Linked DNA regions of Astyanax mexicanus. The protein of the gene in region 2 interacts with the protein of the main gene of each other region in a pairwise test. Links are inferred from orthologs where the notes say so. Each region holds a gene or a part of one and is shown on either strand. Other genes may lie near its edges.

Region 1 (7,967 bases), on a different chromosome or scaffold from region 2:
TTATTACTGTGGCACAGTTCCTTTGGGAGGCCAGAAGCACGAAAAAAAAGAATTTCATATAGTCCCCCTTTAAAATGACAAATTTATTGTTTATCGCAATAAATATAGGACAATATATCGTCCTGAAAATTACGTTTTCGTGACCGGCCTACTCACATATAAGAAATATATGAATAAAATTGTTAAAAGCCAATCTACCTTTCCAAAGTTACCCCATGTGATGGTAACTCTGTTGGTGGCTGTGGAGAGATGAAGCCAGGGTGTGATGTTTATAGGGCGACAGGGCCGACGAGGTTCCACACCAGGTTTATTTGAAGGATAATAACCCTGGAAATGACAGGTGACGAAGGTAAATATTTAATAGAAATTCTGAAAAAACATCATCCCAGAGAAATGTTTTTTTGCAAACATTGCATAGATAAACTATTTTGAATAAAATCTGTAAAAAAAAAAAAAAAGACTTCTCTTAATTTCCGTTATGAATCACAAATCAAATCAAATCAAATTAAATCTGCGAGTTAGAAGTAAAGTGCATTAGGTCTGAATTTACAAGTTCAAGAAACCGACATGAATGCACTTACTGGGACATGACAGTAGGACTGATTCACTTTGACAGCAATATTCGGAGGGTACTGGTCCTCCTGAACACCAATGGAGTCTGTGTAACAGATTCTGAAAAAGACGAAAAAGGATGAATATTCAAAAAATTAGAACTGAAAACAACACATCTACACAGTCCAATAATCCAATAGCACACAAATAAAGAAACAAAACAAAAAGACACATTAAAACAGACTCACCTAAGAACCACCTGAACTGATTTCACCCCTGCACGAAGTTCACTGAGAACACAAAAACAGTTTTGCATTTCTTTTAAAAACACAAGATATAGATGTGGAAACACAGATAATACTAAAAACAAACTACCTATAATAAAAAGGTACTTATGTCTATTTGCCCTTTTTCAGCTATTACTCACCCGGAATTTCGGATCTGGTCCACCTGGCCCTGTGTTAGTTCAAAAACACACTGACTATCCTGAAGTTTCTCACTGTTCTGGGCAACTGCAAAGCATAGCAAGATTTAATAGAGTCTAACATCAGCCTTTCAACCTCTAATGGTCAATGAACACATCCAACAACAAAAAACCAGTGACAATTCGTGAAAACCAAACCAAAACAAAACCATGACTTACTTAGCTCTGTAGGTGGCAACAACGTTTCTAAGTTATGGTAGAAGGGCAAGGGCACTAATTTAACTTCGGCTGCTGGCGGTGCGGCCAGCTTGGGCATGCCATTGAGGTAGTCTGTGCCCTGGGCTGTGCCTCGAGGAGAGTTGTTTAGGGTAGGGTAGGAGACTGCCGGGACCCCCTCAGGGCGACGGGCAGCCAACCATCCAGTCGACTTGGGAAAGCGTGTCTCATAGAGCTGGCGGACGTTCTTCAGCAGCTCTGGGCTGTATTCCGTCTGCACCAGTCTCAAAGCTCTCCCCACCAAGTCCTGCTTTAGACCGCTTTTACTGCGCCCCATCGAGGCCAGCAGTGTCTGCAGGTCAGACACCCGGAAACTCTTCACCATGTTCTGACCAGAGGAGTAGCAGGCGTGGAGAGAGAAAAGAAAAATAAGAGTAAACACAGTTAGAGTGTCTATAAATAATCTGATGATTTTTTTTATTAGTCGATTAGTTAACAATTATTTCCATTATGCCTTTGATCACTTAAAAAAGAAAACAGCTGTACATCGGATATAAATGTCATTTAAATAACAGTATGGTGTAAACATGTGGAAAGCACTGACATTTAGTGAGTAAATATTTAATCTATTGACAAACCTCAAATAATGCAAAGAAAACAAGTTTATATTTACAATGTTTTCAGAAATCAATATTTCCTCCTGGGGCAAAAATTCAAGCAGTTCAGCATAGTTTGATGGCTTGTGATCATCCATCTTCCTCTTAATTATATTCCTGTTTTTTTTTAATTTGGCAAAATCAACGAAGCTTTATTCCAGAGCTTTCTATATAACTCGTGTCTTATAGCTTGCTTATAACAGTATTAGTAGATTATTAACGGTTTATGATAGCTATCAAAGCTATTAGCTACCTAGCTAATAGCATAACACCATGCCAGCCTACATACATCATCTCATACTAACCTAGCTAAGCTAGCGAGTAGCTAACTAGGGTTTACCCGCCAGTTTGTAGCTACGCAAGCCCTTCATAATGCTTCATCTGTTTACACTAAATGACCATGATCACCGTGTTCATAGTTCACAGTTAACCTACTAAACCAATAATACATAAAACACTACTAATGAACTGTCTTAGTCAACTCAGCAGTCTACTTGTGAAGCTCTTTGGTAGCTGTTAGCCCATCATAAACACACGCTGCTGCTGCTGTAGTACATACAGTGTGTGCTAGCTAACGCTAGCTAGGTTAGCTAAACGGCTACTGGAGGCTATTGCGAGTGCGGAGGGGGCACCGGATGAGCTGAGCAGCAGATCACTCATTTCCCAGCTTTAATACTAGTTGTCAGACTACCAGCCTGACCCGCCAATGCCCTGTTAAGCAGGAGCTGCGGATGTTTAGTTAAGCCCGGACCTCAGCTCGAGGTTTTGTATGAGCAAAGTGCTACTGTTCTCAGTCAGTTGAGCTGTTTTGAAGTCCCATCATTCATTTAACGTTAGCCGCTAGCTAACCAGCTTAGCTCCTGCTCAACTGCCAACGCAGTTCACTGGCTAAGAGCGGGAATAAAACCGCCGTGACACGCTGTTCAGCGCTCACACCGCTGCCGAAACCAACATCAACCGGCTCCTCTTTGCTCCCGGAAAGCACTTTTATTTCCCGCAAAGAAAAACAAAAGCGCGCATCCACTCACCATCGCTTCTACCAGTTCGGCCGCCATCTTCACAAAGCAGCGAGAGTCCTCAGGCGAACGGCAGCTGCAGACCAATGAAAAGAGCCGACCGCCTTCGGAGACGGCCCGCCGCGTCCAATCAGCGCCCTGAACGTCACTAAGTGGGCGGTGTTGTCTGGAGCGAGGCGTGGCTTCGTGCGTTTAAAGTCACAGCGCTCTTTTAAAAAAAGAGCACTTGCAGGCAGGTCTATCCGTCCTCATAGGCCGCTGGTTGTTGTAAACCCGTCCAAACACTGTGTGAATTTCATCCTCCGGCGTGCCTGCTTTAATAGTCTGGAGAGAGGGCGAAAGCCCGGTGTATTTTCAGTCCAGGCTCAGAGCGGGCGGAGGACGCTCAGCGTGAAGTGGACGGGAGCGCGTGGCTCCGCCGGCTCCGACCCGCGTGGGAAAATCCATGTCGGGATTTTGGCGACCCAACATTCAGGAATAAACGCTTTTGTTTAATTTCTACCTGCTTGTTTCACACCAACGCGTTTAAAAGGCCACGAATGCTTTCGGCAATATAAAACGCTGTTATCATAAACTGAGATGAGATTGAACTTATGGTTTAATCAGCAGGAGCGAGGAAATAAGACTGGACTAGGAGATGGAATGGAAAAATCAATTGTGCACATTCCCCACCCAACTCCATGCCGTGTTTTACTGGTTGAGTGTGAGCGGTGGGGGATGGGAGCAAAGGGAATGTTGAACAGTGAGCGGGGTAAAAGAATCAGGGCTATGAATTGTCACCACTAGTCTGATAAGAAAAGCAAACCCTCTTAAAGCTGGATTGAACATATTAAGGGAATTCAAATCCAAATCAATCAAAAAGACATTTTCACCAGATTCTTACCCTTACAATTATAGTTAATTATTCAGGGCTGGGGTAAAATTTCTGTAAGCATTCTTTTTTCTTGCTGAAATGATAAGTGATAATACATTGCAATATACTCACAATTGTAGTCAGTGTGATAGAGCTGTGGTGTTTATTTCTGTTGGTTTGATGTCAGGCTCTCTTAGGAACAGTTCACTGTGTAGAAGAAGGACATGACTGAACCAGTTGAGGCCTGGTGCAGACATGCGGGGGAGCAGTTGCTCTGTGTTTTATTTATACACTTTTAAATACACTTTTTAGTTGTGGTTCTTCTGTTCTCCTGCATACTGGGGTTAAAGTACAACAATATCAATATAATTAAAATGCTGAATGGCAGCTATCATTAAATATATTTATTTTTACTGTTTTTATTTAATTGGCGAGACATTCACAGACCACATTCTTTTTATATACAGTTGTTAGGCCTGTTACAATAATTATGTTACCAAGTTATTGTACTATATGTGGACATGACCGAAATCATTTTTGATCACCTAAATCTTTCTTATTACGTTTTTCTTAACAAGGAGAGCCCATTGAGATGTATTTGACATTATGCTGACTTTGTTAATAAACTCCCAGAAGCTGTGAGATGTGTCCAGACTGTAACCTGAAAACATATCTGTTTACCTGGGCTTCCCCAACAGTTTAACTTAATCTCCGTTGCATACTTTTAGTACTTTATTTCTTTTATTTTTGTTCTTAGTTTTCATAACTTTTTATTATTTTAATTATGTCATGTAACTTTCTTTTAACATTGTTCCATAAGAAAGCTTTGCTATCTTCTTATATGCCTTTTGGGCATTAATACCTTTATTTTAAGATCTTAAGACTTTAGGATTGCTTACATGAGTTTACATGGTTGCCAGGTCACACTCATTATTACTGATTCGGTGATGATACTCATGTTTCATGACACTTAAATAATTAGTACTTATTTAGTGCTTGCTTTGTTTTGTACATTTTGCATTAAACAAAAACTGAAATCATTTTTAGCACCAGATTTATTGCCAGGTAATCCTAGCTGGTGATACATTGCTGATGCTGTATCAGGTGTCTTCTTGTCTACAGTTCTGCCATAATAAGCAAAATTCTGCTCTGTAGGATAGTACTTTACTTATTTAGAGGTGTTTGCTGGACCAAAGCTGTTAGGATTAAATATTCACTAAAGAATTCATGGTTAAAAGTACTGTTTAACGTTTAGCAAACTATAACTCGGTCATCAATATTCAAGAAATAACAAGAGACTGAAAACTGCCCCTTCCTGTTTTAGGACATGTTGTTGATTAGAGACTACAAAAAAGACATTCAATCTGAAAAGGAATGTTTTTATTAAGTTAGCTGTCTCAATAATACATTTCTCAATGCATTTATTTTACAGTCATATGTTAGTCATCACTATACATGAGATGGAGCCCAGAGATGAAATGGAAAATTCAAGAGATAAAAATAAAGTAAAACAACTAAATTCACAATATTTCAAAACCCAGGTTCAAATGGCCACTCTGTAAACATGGTGCTCCAAATAGGAACACACTGAAACAAGAGAGCTGGAACAAACATTGGCATAAGGAATGTATACTTCAACAGCAGGGCCTGAAATCATAAGTAATGGTTATTTAGGAGGAAGAAGAAGAGTGCTGACTGCACTGAGCAAATAATAATAGCAATAATAATAATTCTGCATAAATGGACGTGGCCATATCCACTCACGGAACTGCAGAACTTCAGGCAACTGGAAAGATAATTCTTTGCACATGCTAGGACTATTAAGGCGCATGTCAGTTTTAAAGATCAGGCACAAAGCAGCAGATAGAAAAGGCATGGCACTGAGAACAAAAAAATATAATAAAATCTTATCTGCAAATAAAAAGCATGCAATTCTTATGCACATTTCTGATGTATAAAAGGTCTAGCTACTGCCAGTCATATCAGTATTTGATAAATATAGTTAAACACCTTTAACTCGTGTCAGTTTTTTTTCTTGAAAATATGTAGCATTTTCAGCAAAAGGTCAAAGAAGGTCTGCTGCACAGTTAATGGGTGCACTTACTGTAGTGTAAGGAATCACTTGGTGAAAAAAAAAACCGTAGTGTTATAATTCAGCAATTCTGCAATTAAAAGTGTTTTCACAGTCCCAATGAAATTTTTTAAAGCTGCCACGGCTTGATTGTGAGCAGTACCTTATTTGCATGATTGTTTTATCAAGTAACATTACTTACATTCTTTCACATATGCACAAGTCATTGTGTAACCGGTTTGGCAACGTAATTTGTAAACAAAAGTACAATGGATTCCTATACGGGATGTTTAGTCCCCTTTCTCTAGACTTGCACAGTTTCACTGTTATGTCATTCATGTGGAGGCATGAAGTTAAGATATCTGCTATACGCAGGGGGACAAATAGAGCACTCTGGCTCCACCTGGAGTCTGGAATGGTTCATCACCATGGTCCACTTTCTGGATAACTGGGCACAGCAGCAGGGTACTGAGGAAGACTTGGGCCAGTCTCAGCGATGGCATTGAAGCCAGCTTCTCTCACAGGGGCACTCTTCCAAGCACCGGTGGTCCATTCCTCTTGGGCACGCTGGAAGCTGCCTCCTCCTCCACGATAAAGCCGGTGAACCTGAAAAGAGAAATCAAAATATGCAACATTTATCACTCTTTTTGATACTTACATTATGCAATGATTCAATTAGGTTTGGGTAAAAATGGCAAAAACATGTAACAGGGTTGGGACAGTAAGTCAAACTGAAGCAGATACAATCAGAATCTCTGAAAAGCTAGTTTTAGAGCCAGAGCCAATTAGAATCCCATATACTACCACACTTTATGTTCAACAGTGTGTGAAACCAACTTAATGTCCACCAGAGTACTTAAAAAAAAAACATTCCTCTAAAAGGTTTTTCATTACAAAGAATACTATACTCTATAAGAGAGTGTATTAGATGGGAGATTTGTTATACAAGAACACACAATTGTTAATGTGGACCTCAGATTGTTTTGTGTAGACACAGGACTGTTTGATGCGACTTTATACAATAAGGGTCAATTTCTGAGACGGAATTACCGTAAGCCTAATTTTGGACTACATAGGCTTTTGGAAAATAGAAAAATAAATTCTGATACTAGAGTTAATCCTTGCATATATTATAAAAGTTACAATAAGTTATCAGATTACATTACATGATTATAGCATTAATTTCTTCATTTATTTAATATGACAGGCAACAGGGAGCTGAGTCTATACCAGTTTGCTGATTTCCCTGCGCTAACATTCTTAGTCTTCAAAAGACAAGTTCAACGTTCTTCTGCATGCTAGTGTTTATACATACAGTGTAAATGCATTACAACATCTGTCTTTGCGAGAAAATTAGGTGGAATAAACAGGGTCCTGTGGTCCTAAAGACCACACTAAAGAAGCATTTTTTTTTACCTAGTTTATGTCTGATGCGTTTTCTTAAAACTAGTAAAAGAATTTGAAAACTGCTGACTCAAAACTGCCAATGTTAACAGTTCTCAGAAAATGGAAAAAAAAGTCCATACACATCTATAATTAACTAACGGCCATAAGTTATATGAAGATCTGGAATATTCCTTTAAGGTGTGTCTTATATAGGCAGTTTAGTATGCTTTGCACTAGACTTACCCTGATAAGAACCAGCCCCATGAACACTGTGTTTACAGTGAACAGCACAGCCGAGAAAAGCATAACCACAGCCGATCCCACGTTAGTGCCGAAAAACATCACTGTTGCTATCCAACCACTAGAGCAAGGCATGAAGGGGTGAGCGAGTGAGAGAGAAAGACAGAGGTAAACTGGGTTAGTCATTACCAGGTCTTGTATCTTTCACCTATTTATCTGCACACCGAATCATGTGATGATGATCAGAATTCAGTCTTCTCTGATGGAACAGCTGAGCTCATTCAGTGATCTGACCATTTAAAATACTGTTTAAAATTGTTGTGAGAACTCAGGTTAAAAACTATTTCTTATAGTTTCCTATAGTTAACTCAAGTGAATATTTTACCATCTTTTCAGTGTCAGTTTATGTGGTGGTTGGATTCTGCTGTTAGCAACAATGCATTACAATATCAAAGCTAGTGGAACTTAAAATGTGATCATTTGAAGTAGAGGCTATTTTTATACACAAAAACAAATCCAGGCATCTTTAAAAGCGCCTCTAAACCTAACAATG
Region 2 (7,228 bases):
GGAGAAAACGGTTATTTAAAGCATGAAAGAAAACATTCCATTACAAAATTTGTCTACATATCTGAGTTCTGCATAATAAGGGTGTTATGAATGAAAATGTGTGTGTGTGTGTGTGTGTGTGTGTGTGTGTGTGGGCGGATATTTCTTTAGAAGCTGAGTCAACTCTGAACAAGTGCATGAGAATCTCTGCAGGATGTTTGGGGCTACTGTGTGTTCTCCAAGCTGCTACCATCACCACACTGTGTCTGAAGCACATGTTTGATAAAGAACATTTACAAAACACTATCAATAACCTTACTATAGAGAAAGACCTGTTACAGACCAGTTACACCAGTCTGACCACGGCCCAGCGTCTTTTACAGAGCGAGAACCAGAGGATAGCACAGAAGTTCAATCATTTAGGTAAGCTTAGTTTATTATGTTTCTTTATTTAAAGGTAATAATTCAAGCTTTTTCTTCTGATGACTGTTTGTTCGGACAGTTGTTACACTAAATATATCTATAAATAAACTAAATGCATAATAATAATTTAACCACTGCTCTTCCTCAAGGTTGGAGGTATTTTAACTCCAGCATTTACTACACCTCTACTGAGAAAAAGACCTGGGCTAAGAGCAGACAGCACTGCAGGACGATAGGTGCTGACCTGGTGATCATAAACACAAAGGAGGAACAGGTGAGAGACAGAGAGAGAAAGATTGTACTTTCAATGTTTGGGGTCTTTAGTTCCAGTAAAGTGCTGCAAAATGATTATTGACATAATACTGTAAAGCATGTGAAATCATGCTTGGCAGTAAAGTAAATGTTACTTGCTCTTAAGACCTACACCCCTGTGTCCAGGAAAGCAACCATTATATAAAATATAACTCAGTACCCAACAGGAAATAGCCCTGGCAGGCAAGAATCCACACTAATGGTAAGTTAGGCGTGGGAAGACACGCCCAATATGCAAATTAGGGATGTTTGTAGGCTGTTTCTGGTCTCACAACAAAGCAGTAAATGTCCGTAAAATGTTTTAAATATAAACACCTGTTTTTCCCACAAATGTTACAGTTATATATACAGATGACAGCTGTTTTCATAGGACATCCCAAGATGCATTGCGTTCTACAGTTTTACAGAAGAACATTGTTAAAGAGTTATTTACTGTATGATTTTAGTGTAGAAAATACTGGGTGTAGATAGATAGATAGATAGATAGATAGATAGATAGATAGATAGATAGATAGATAGATAGATAGATAGATAGATAGATAGATAGATAGATAATAAGGGGCACATGCTAGTAATGTATTTTACTACATGTAAACAGATTTTTGTATCAGGATTTTCCAGAGAGGATATGTGGATTGGTCTAACTGATGAAGAAACAGAGGGAGTTTGGAAATGGGTAGACAACACGACACAAACTCTGGGGTGAGAGACTTTTTATTACTTTTATTACTTAAATGAAGAAAAATAAATATTATTGAACTTTTACTCCTATTGGCTGTTAATGTAATGGTTCCTGACCTAGATTTTCAGATACAAATACCTGGAAATAAAGGCTGAAATGGGATTGACCTAAATTTTCCAATACTTTTGGAGAGGAGTGTATTTATAATTTACCATTAACAACAAAGCTCTACCCAGTGACACTGAGATTTTAAGGGTTTCAACATAATTTGCGCTGGCCAAACAGAAAAAAAGCATTTTCAATATTTTAGTCATGTCTAAAACCTCCTGTTATGTTGCAGATCAAATTGGCCAGATTTATAGTTTAATAATATTGCATTTAAACATCTAAAATTAATTTCAGAATATATATTTTTTTAATTACTGTGCATGTAAATGGAAAATTACTAATTTAATGTAATCGCAACATCCTATCAAATGCACACACTTAGGGTCATGTTAATCCTTATTATAACAAACATGATATGATTGCATTTGTGTTTCAAAGGAGAAGTGAACTATTATACGTAAACCGTGTTTAATAATCCAACAGTTTAATTATATATAGGTTTCTAGGAATACTTTTCTACTTTTTGGATGGTTAAACATGCACTGAGTGAAATGAATCCAGAAACGTTTTTGTTGTTTCACTCAGTTCAACAAGATTTAAATCATAAAAACAGCTCTTATAAAGGCCCACATCATGGAATACTCAAATCATTTGGAATACTCTTTTTTTTTGCTTTTATGTATTTAAATGAAAAAAAAGTTTTGTAAGGTAAACACTGCTTCAAAATGTACATAATCAATATGCATACATTGTTGTTTTTTTTTTCCCCCCCAATACAGCTACATGTTTCTTTGGGTAAAATAAAAGTAACAGGTAGCAATGGAGCAGTGATGGGCTGGCAATGATGTTGTAGAGGGTTACACTGCTGCCCTCTGGATGCCAGATTTGAGTAGGACTGAGAATCACTAAGAGATGTTGTGTTTTATGTGATTTTGGGTGAAATCAGTAATTAAACATGAACCCTACTCCTGTGCTGTTTCAGGTACTGGATGGAAGATCAGCCCAACAACTTTAATGGAAACCAAAACTGTGCTTCCATACAAACGACTGGGATAAATCCGTTAAGAACCTGGAATGATTACCAGTGCTCTTATGAGAAGCACTGGGTGTGTGAAAGATAGATTACACACCCTTTAAAATAAATTATTCTCATTTCTTTAAGTGGAAAATGCACTTTTTTTTTTACTTTAGCTTATGTAAACTGAACATGTTCTAATTTGTATATATTTTATATTAAGTTGTAGTCTTCGTAGGCAGGATTTTTGATTTAATTAGTCCTATTTATATTAATTTATTTTTTATTTTATAAATAAATGCTAATTTAATAATTTTATATTAGTTGTGAGTAGATTGTGTTTTTATTTTCTCTTTCAGTCCCTGTCTTTAATATCTTTAAATGTTTGGCTGCAATGAAAATGAGGGTCACTCTCATTGTACCTCTGAGAAAAAAATATTAGTGATTTATTGATAGATTGATTGAAAATTAGTAAACTAGGAGAGGAGCAGCAGGGGAAGTGGCACTGCACATAAAATACAATAAGCCACACAACTAAAGTTTAGAATAAATAATTAACACTGGCCCTTTGTGTATAAGAATGGAGTCCAGGGGTAACACTGTATATACAATTGCTTAAATCATCACAATGTGTAAAGGCATTGATGGCCTGTGGAGCGACATCTGTTAGTTAGTGTTAAACTGTTAAGGCCCCTGAAAGCCCGAGGGAAAAGCTGTGTTTGGGTGGGTAGTAAATGCAGAGTTTAACAGACTGCATGTACTGCATGAGTTTTTCAGGTCTTGTCTAAAACTCATAGTCATGAAAACAGGCAGCTGTCAACACACAGGAAGGCCAGAGCAGAGAACAGACACATCCATAATCCAGACCTATAAAAGAAGAGAAAAGGGTAAAAAAAAAGGTTAAACCAGCCATACAAACACAGTTTAGGCTCCTGTGGGAGCAGCACTAGTCTGTAGTAACCAATTAGGGCCAGCAGAGGGAGACATTGTTACAGTTAGTGAATGAAGACGTATCTATGTTTCTTAAGTTTATTTATTTGATGTCTTGAATAATTTTGACAATGTAGAACATCATAAAAAGAAATAGTTTAATTTAAATACATTTAGACGTTTGATTGGTACTCTACATGGTTTGTCTAATGAACTAAAATCCAAAAATGCAGATTTTATTTGCTATAGAGACAGTTCACAGTGGATTGATATTGAATCATACTTTGCTCAACACACCATATTTTCTGTTCTCTATTGTTCTTATTATGCGTTCTACCTATCCATTCACTTCTATTAAAATCTAATCAATTTATGTATGTATTTTATGTGTCTGTCTATCTATCTGTTCAATTCAATTCTATTTATGTATTTACTGTATATTTTATATTTCATATATTTATTTATTTATTCTGACAGAACCGAATGCTACTGATACAGTGATCTTTTTCCGTGCTCAAATGACCATCCATCCATCCATCCATCCATCCATTTTTCTGTTTTCCTATATCGCCAAGTATATCGTTATCGCAAATATTGTGATATTATTTTAGAGCCATATCGCCCACCCCTACCATCCATCCATCTATCCATCCATGTTGTATAGAAGGTATACCAAAACATGAATGAGCACGGACTTTCAGGAATGAATGGGTTTCTGCTGAGGGGGTGGGAGGACTCTTATTTTGACAGGTTTCTCTGTTCGCTGTGTGTATTGTGCTCGCGGGTTGCTGCGGTGTAAAGATGGCTGTGCGGATCAGACCCGCTGTGAGCTGCGCTCCGCTCGCGCTTTCTGCGTCCCGCTGACGTCCCGGCGCGCGCGGAGTCCGGTAACGGGTTTAACGGCCGAGGCTCACGGTCGCTGCGGGTTTTCCCCGGTACTGTCGGGCTGCTGAATTCCCGTGGGCTGTTTCTCGGAGCGTTGCTCGCCCTGCGCGCTGGTTAGCAGGCTGGCTAACCCCACAGGTGTAAATATTAGCTGGCTAAGCTAAGCTAAGCTAGTTAGTACCTAGCCCGCTGGCTGGCGGCTGTTCCCCCGGAGCTCGCCGGCCGCGCGGCCCGCTGTCATGGCCACCATGGAGAAGCTGATGAAGGCCTTCGAATCGCTGAAGTCGTTCCAGCAGCAGCAGGGCCCGCTGTCAGCCGAGGAGCTCGTCCAGAAACAGTAAGTCTGAGGGGAGGGGACGATAACGTAGCTACAGCGTTAGCTGGCTAGCCGTGTCTCCACCAGTCTAAACCAGTCATTTAGCTAGGTTAGCTAATTAGCTTAGCTAGCGTTATGTGTTGACATATTTAGCCAGTTAGCTTAGCTAAGCTATGTTGCTAGCTGTCAAGCTGGTAGCCAAAGACGTCAGCTGACCTGCTTAGCTACCTTACTAACTAGCTAACGGTCAAGATTTGCTTATACCAAATAATACAGTGTTAGGAAACGTTAGTTAATTTTATTAAATAGTAGGTTAGCTATTTGGCTATCTGTCTTTAGGAAAGCATTTTCAGTGCATACAATCTAATGACCCTGACTCATTTATCTGCAATAGCTAGCTGATAAACACCTTAATGGCTAGTGATGCACTGGCTAATAAATCAGTGCTTCTTAGCTTGTCTTAGCTTGTCTTGTGCCCAGTAAAAGCATTAGGTTAGCTGTGTTATGTTTTTCCTTTACATCAGCTTAATTATTGCCTATTAGATATATTATTAGATATATACTGAAGCAGATATCAGGTGTGCTAGAGCTGGAAGTGATGCAGGTATTCATCTGTATATTCTTGTTTATATAGCTACATAGCTGTATATCGTTGCTAAAAATAAAAATCAAGCATCTCCGTTTTTGACAGTTTAATTTTTAGTTAATTTGAACAAATAAACATTTTCACACTTTGTCAAAGTTTTATTGCTCAATGCACCAATAGAAATTCCCCAAGATAACCTAATATAAATTATTTTTACCTTGACTTCAATTTAAAGTTAAGAAGGTTTTATCTTTCTCCTGTTAAGCTGGGAAAGGTGCAATGATTAGTCTGTATATTCTTATGTATATGGTAATACACTGAACACTTACACAAAGAAATAACGTAGTTATACGTTACACAAACAAACGTAATTATATTATATTGGGATGTTATGTGATAGACAAACACAAGTAGCAATTAAGTGTGAACTGAAAAGAAAATGGTGCATGGTTTTTAAAACCTCTATCTGTAAAATGGAGCTGAAATCATGTGTGCTAGGTCAGGAAAATGTACAATCTGAACATTCTTGCGAATTGTGTGTATATGTGTGTGTGTATATATATATATATATATATATATATATATATATATATATATGTATATGTATATATATATATATTTGTATATATATATATATATATATATATATATATATATATATATATATATGTATAATGTGCCTTTGTCCTGTATTTTTATATTTTGTATATATTGTATTCTTACTACCAAGAGGGATTATGCACCCAAGTTTTTCAATCATCTACCTACCTTAAATCTGTAGTCAGAGAGTTCTTACTGTTTAAAAGACTAGAGTAATAAAAATAATTACCCTTTTTAACTTTAAAGTAGTTTACACAGAAACTTGTTATGCATGCCTCTGAAGAGCCTGTCTTGGCTGTATTGCTGGAAGAGTATAAAGAACAAATGATCCTCAGAATGATTCCTCAGAAATGAGCTGAACTCTTTTGTTGTACATTTGTAGTGCAGTTTATTTCTTATTTGTTTTTAGATTAAGGAACAGTCAGAAATATAATAAAAATAAAAATTCTCATTTTGACCATGTTTTTTCAGTTGTTTATTTGTTAATTGCTAAAACATGTTACTTCTTTGTAGGAAAAAAGATCTAGCCACGACCAAAAAGGACAGAGTGACTCATTGTTTGACGATATGCGAGAACATCGTAGCACAATCTCTGAGGTATGCAGTACTTGTTGTTTGATCTTGTGAGTAACACATTTATAAAGCAATTCAGATTAAGGATTAACAGATTATTATTATTAATATTTATATTATTATTATTATTTTTTAATTATTATTATTATTATTATTATTTTTATTTATTATTTTTTTTTTTTACATTTTATTAGTCATTAAAAACAGATTATTAAAAGTATCAACTAAAGACATAAAACTGATTTATTCAGGGACTCAGATTAACACAGGGCTCAAAACACCACCACTCACTAGGAATGTGGAATAAAAGACCTTTGGAAAAATGTTATCTGGATTTACTTATTTCGTTTTTTTCTCAAGGAGAACAAATGTGTAGCACAATGTGATGGTTGTAGTTAAGGTTTTTAGGATGCCTCACATTTTAAGCATTTTTTTTTTGAATAATGAAAATATTCTCAGAAAATAACACTCTAATGTACACCAAATATACTGAAGAAATAATAATGTGCTGTTTGTTTGTAGGCCTCTCACAATAATCAATTTTTGGATGATATAAATAAATGGTTTAATTGTATGGTTTTATGGTGCTGCTTTTCACCCCTTGAAGGCTGTGAAAGATCCACCAAATAACTTGTACAAATGTTCTCTGTCATAGCAATTGAGAAAAACAGTCTACTTCAGCTGCAGAAGAATGTCTTGCAGTGCTGTTACTGTGTCTTAATATGTCATCCTCTCGCTGACTAAAGAAGCTTGCTGCTATGATGACAGTTAATTAAAGTGATCTTTCTGTAGTGTCCAGACCATGACTATATTAGTTTG

The links.
Region 1: the proteins of htt (region 2) and pias4a interact in binary tests that used the Homo sapiens proteins (3 or more experiments, as listed by UniProt). The link is inferred for Astyanax mexicanus from reciprocal best matches to the Homo sapiens genes HTT and PIAS4.

The regions. Positions count from the first base shown.
Region 1 is NC_064423.1:23,645,917-23,653,883, reverse strand, and holds the start of pias4a (E3 SUMO-protein ligase PIAS4-A), read right to left. Parts: upstream 3,027-7,967; 5' UTR 2,904-3,026; coding exon 2,877-2,903; intron 1,581-2,876; coding exon 1,196-1,580; intron 1,065-1,195; coding exon 980-1,064; intron 843-979; coding exon 801-842; intron 673-800; coding exon 582-672; intron 328-581; coding exon 199-327; intron 1-198. Other genes in the region: scamp4 (secretory carrier-associated membrane protein 4), read right to left, coding at 6,212-6,394, 7,418-7,535.
Region 2 is NC_064414.1:46,261,214-46,268,441, forward strand, and holds the start of htt (huntingtin), read left to right. Parts: upstream 1-4,223; 5' UTR 4,224-4,573; coding exon 4,574-4,671; intron 4,672-6,349; coding exon 6,350-6,433; intron 6,434-7,228. Other genes in the region: C-type lectin domain family 4 member E, read left to right, coding at 151-402, 552-676, 1,313-1,416, 2,487-2,625.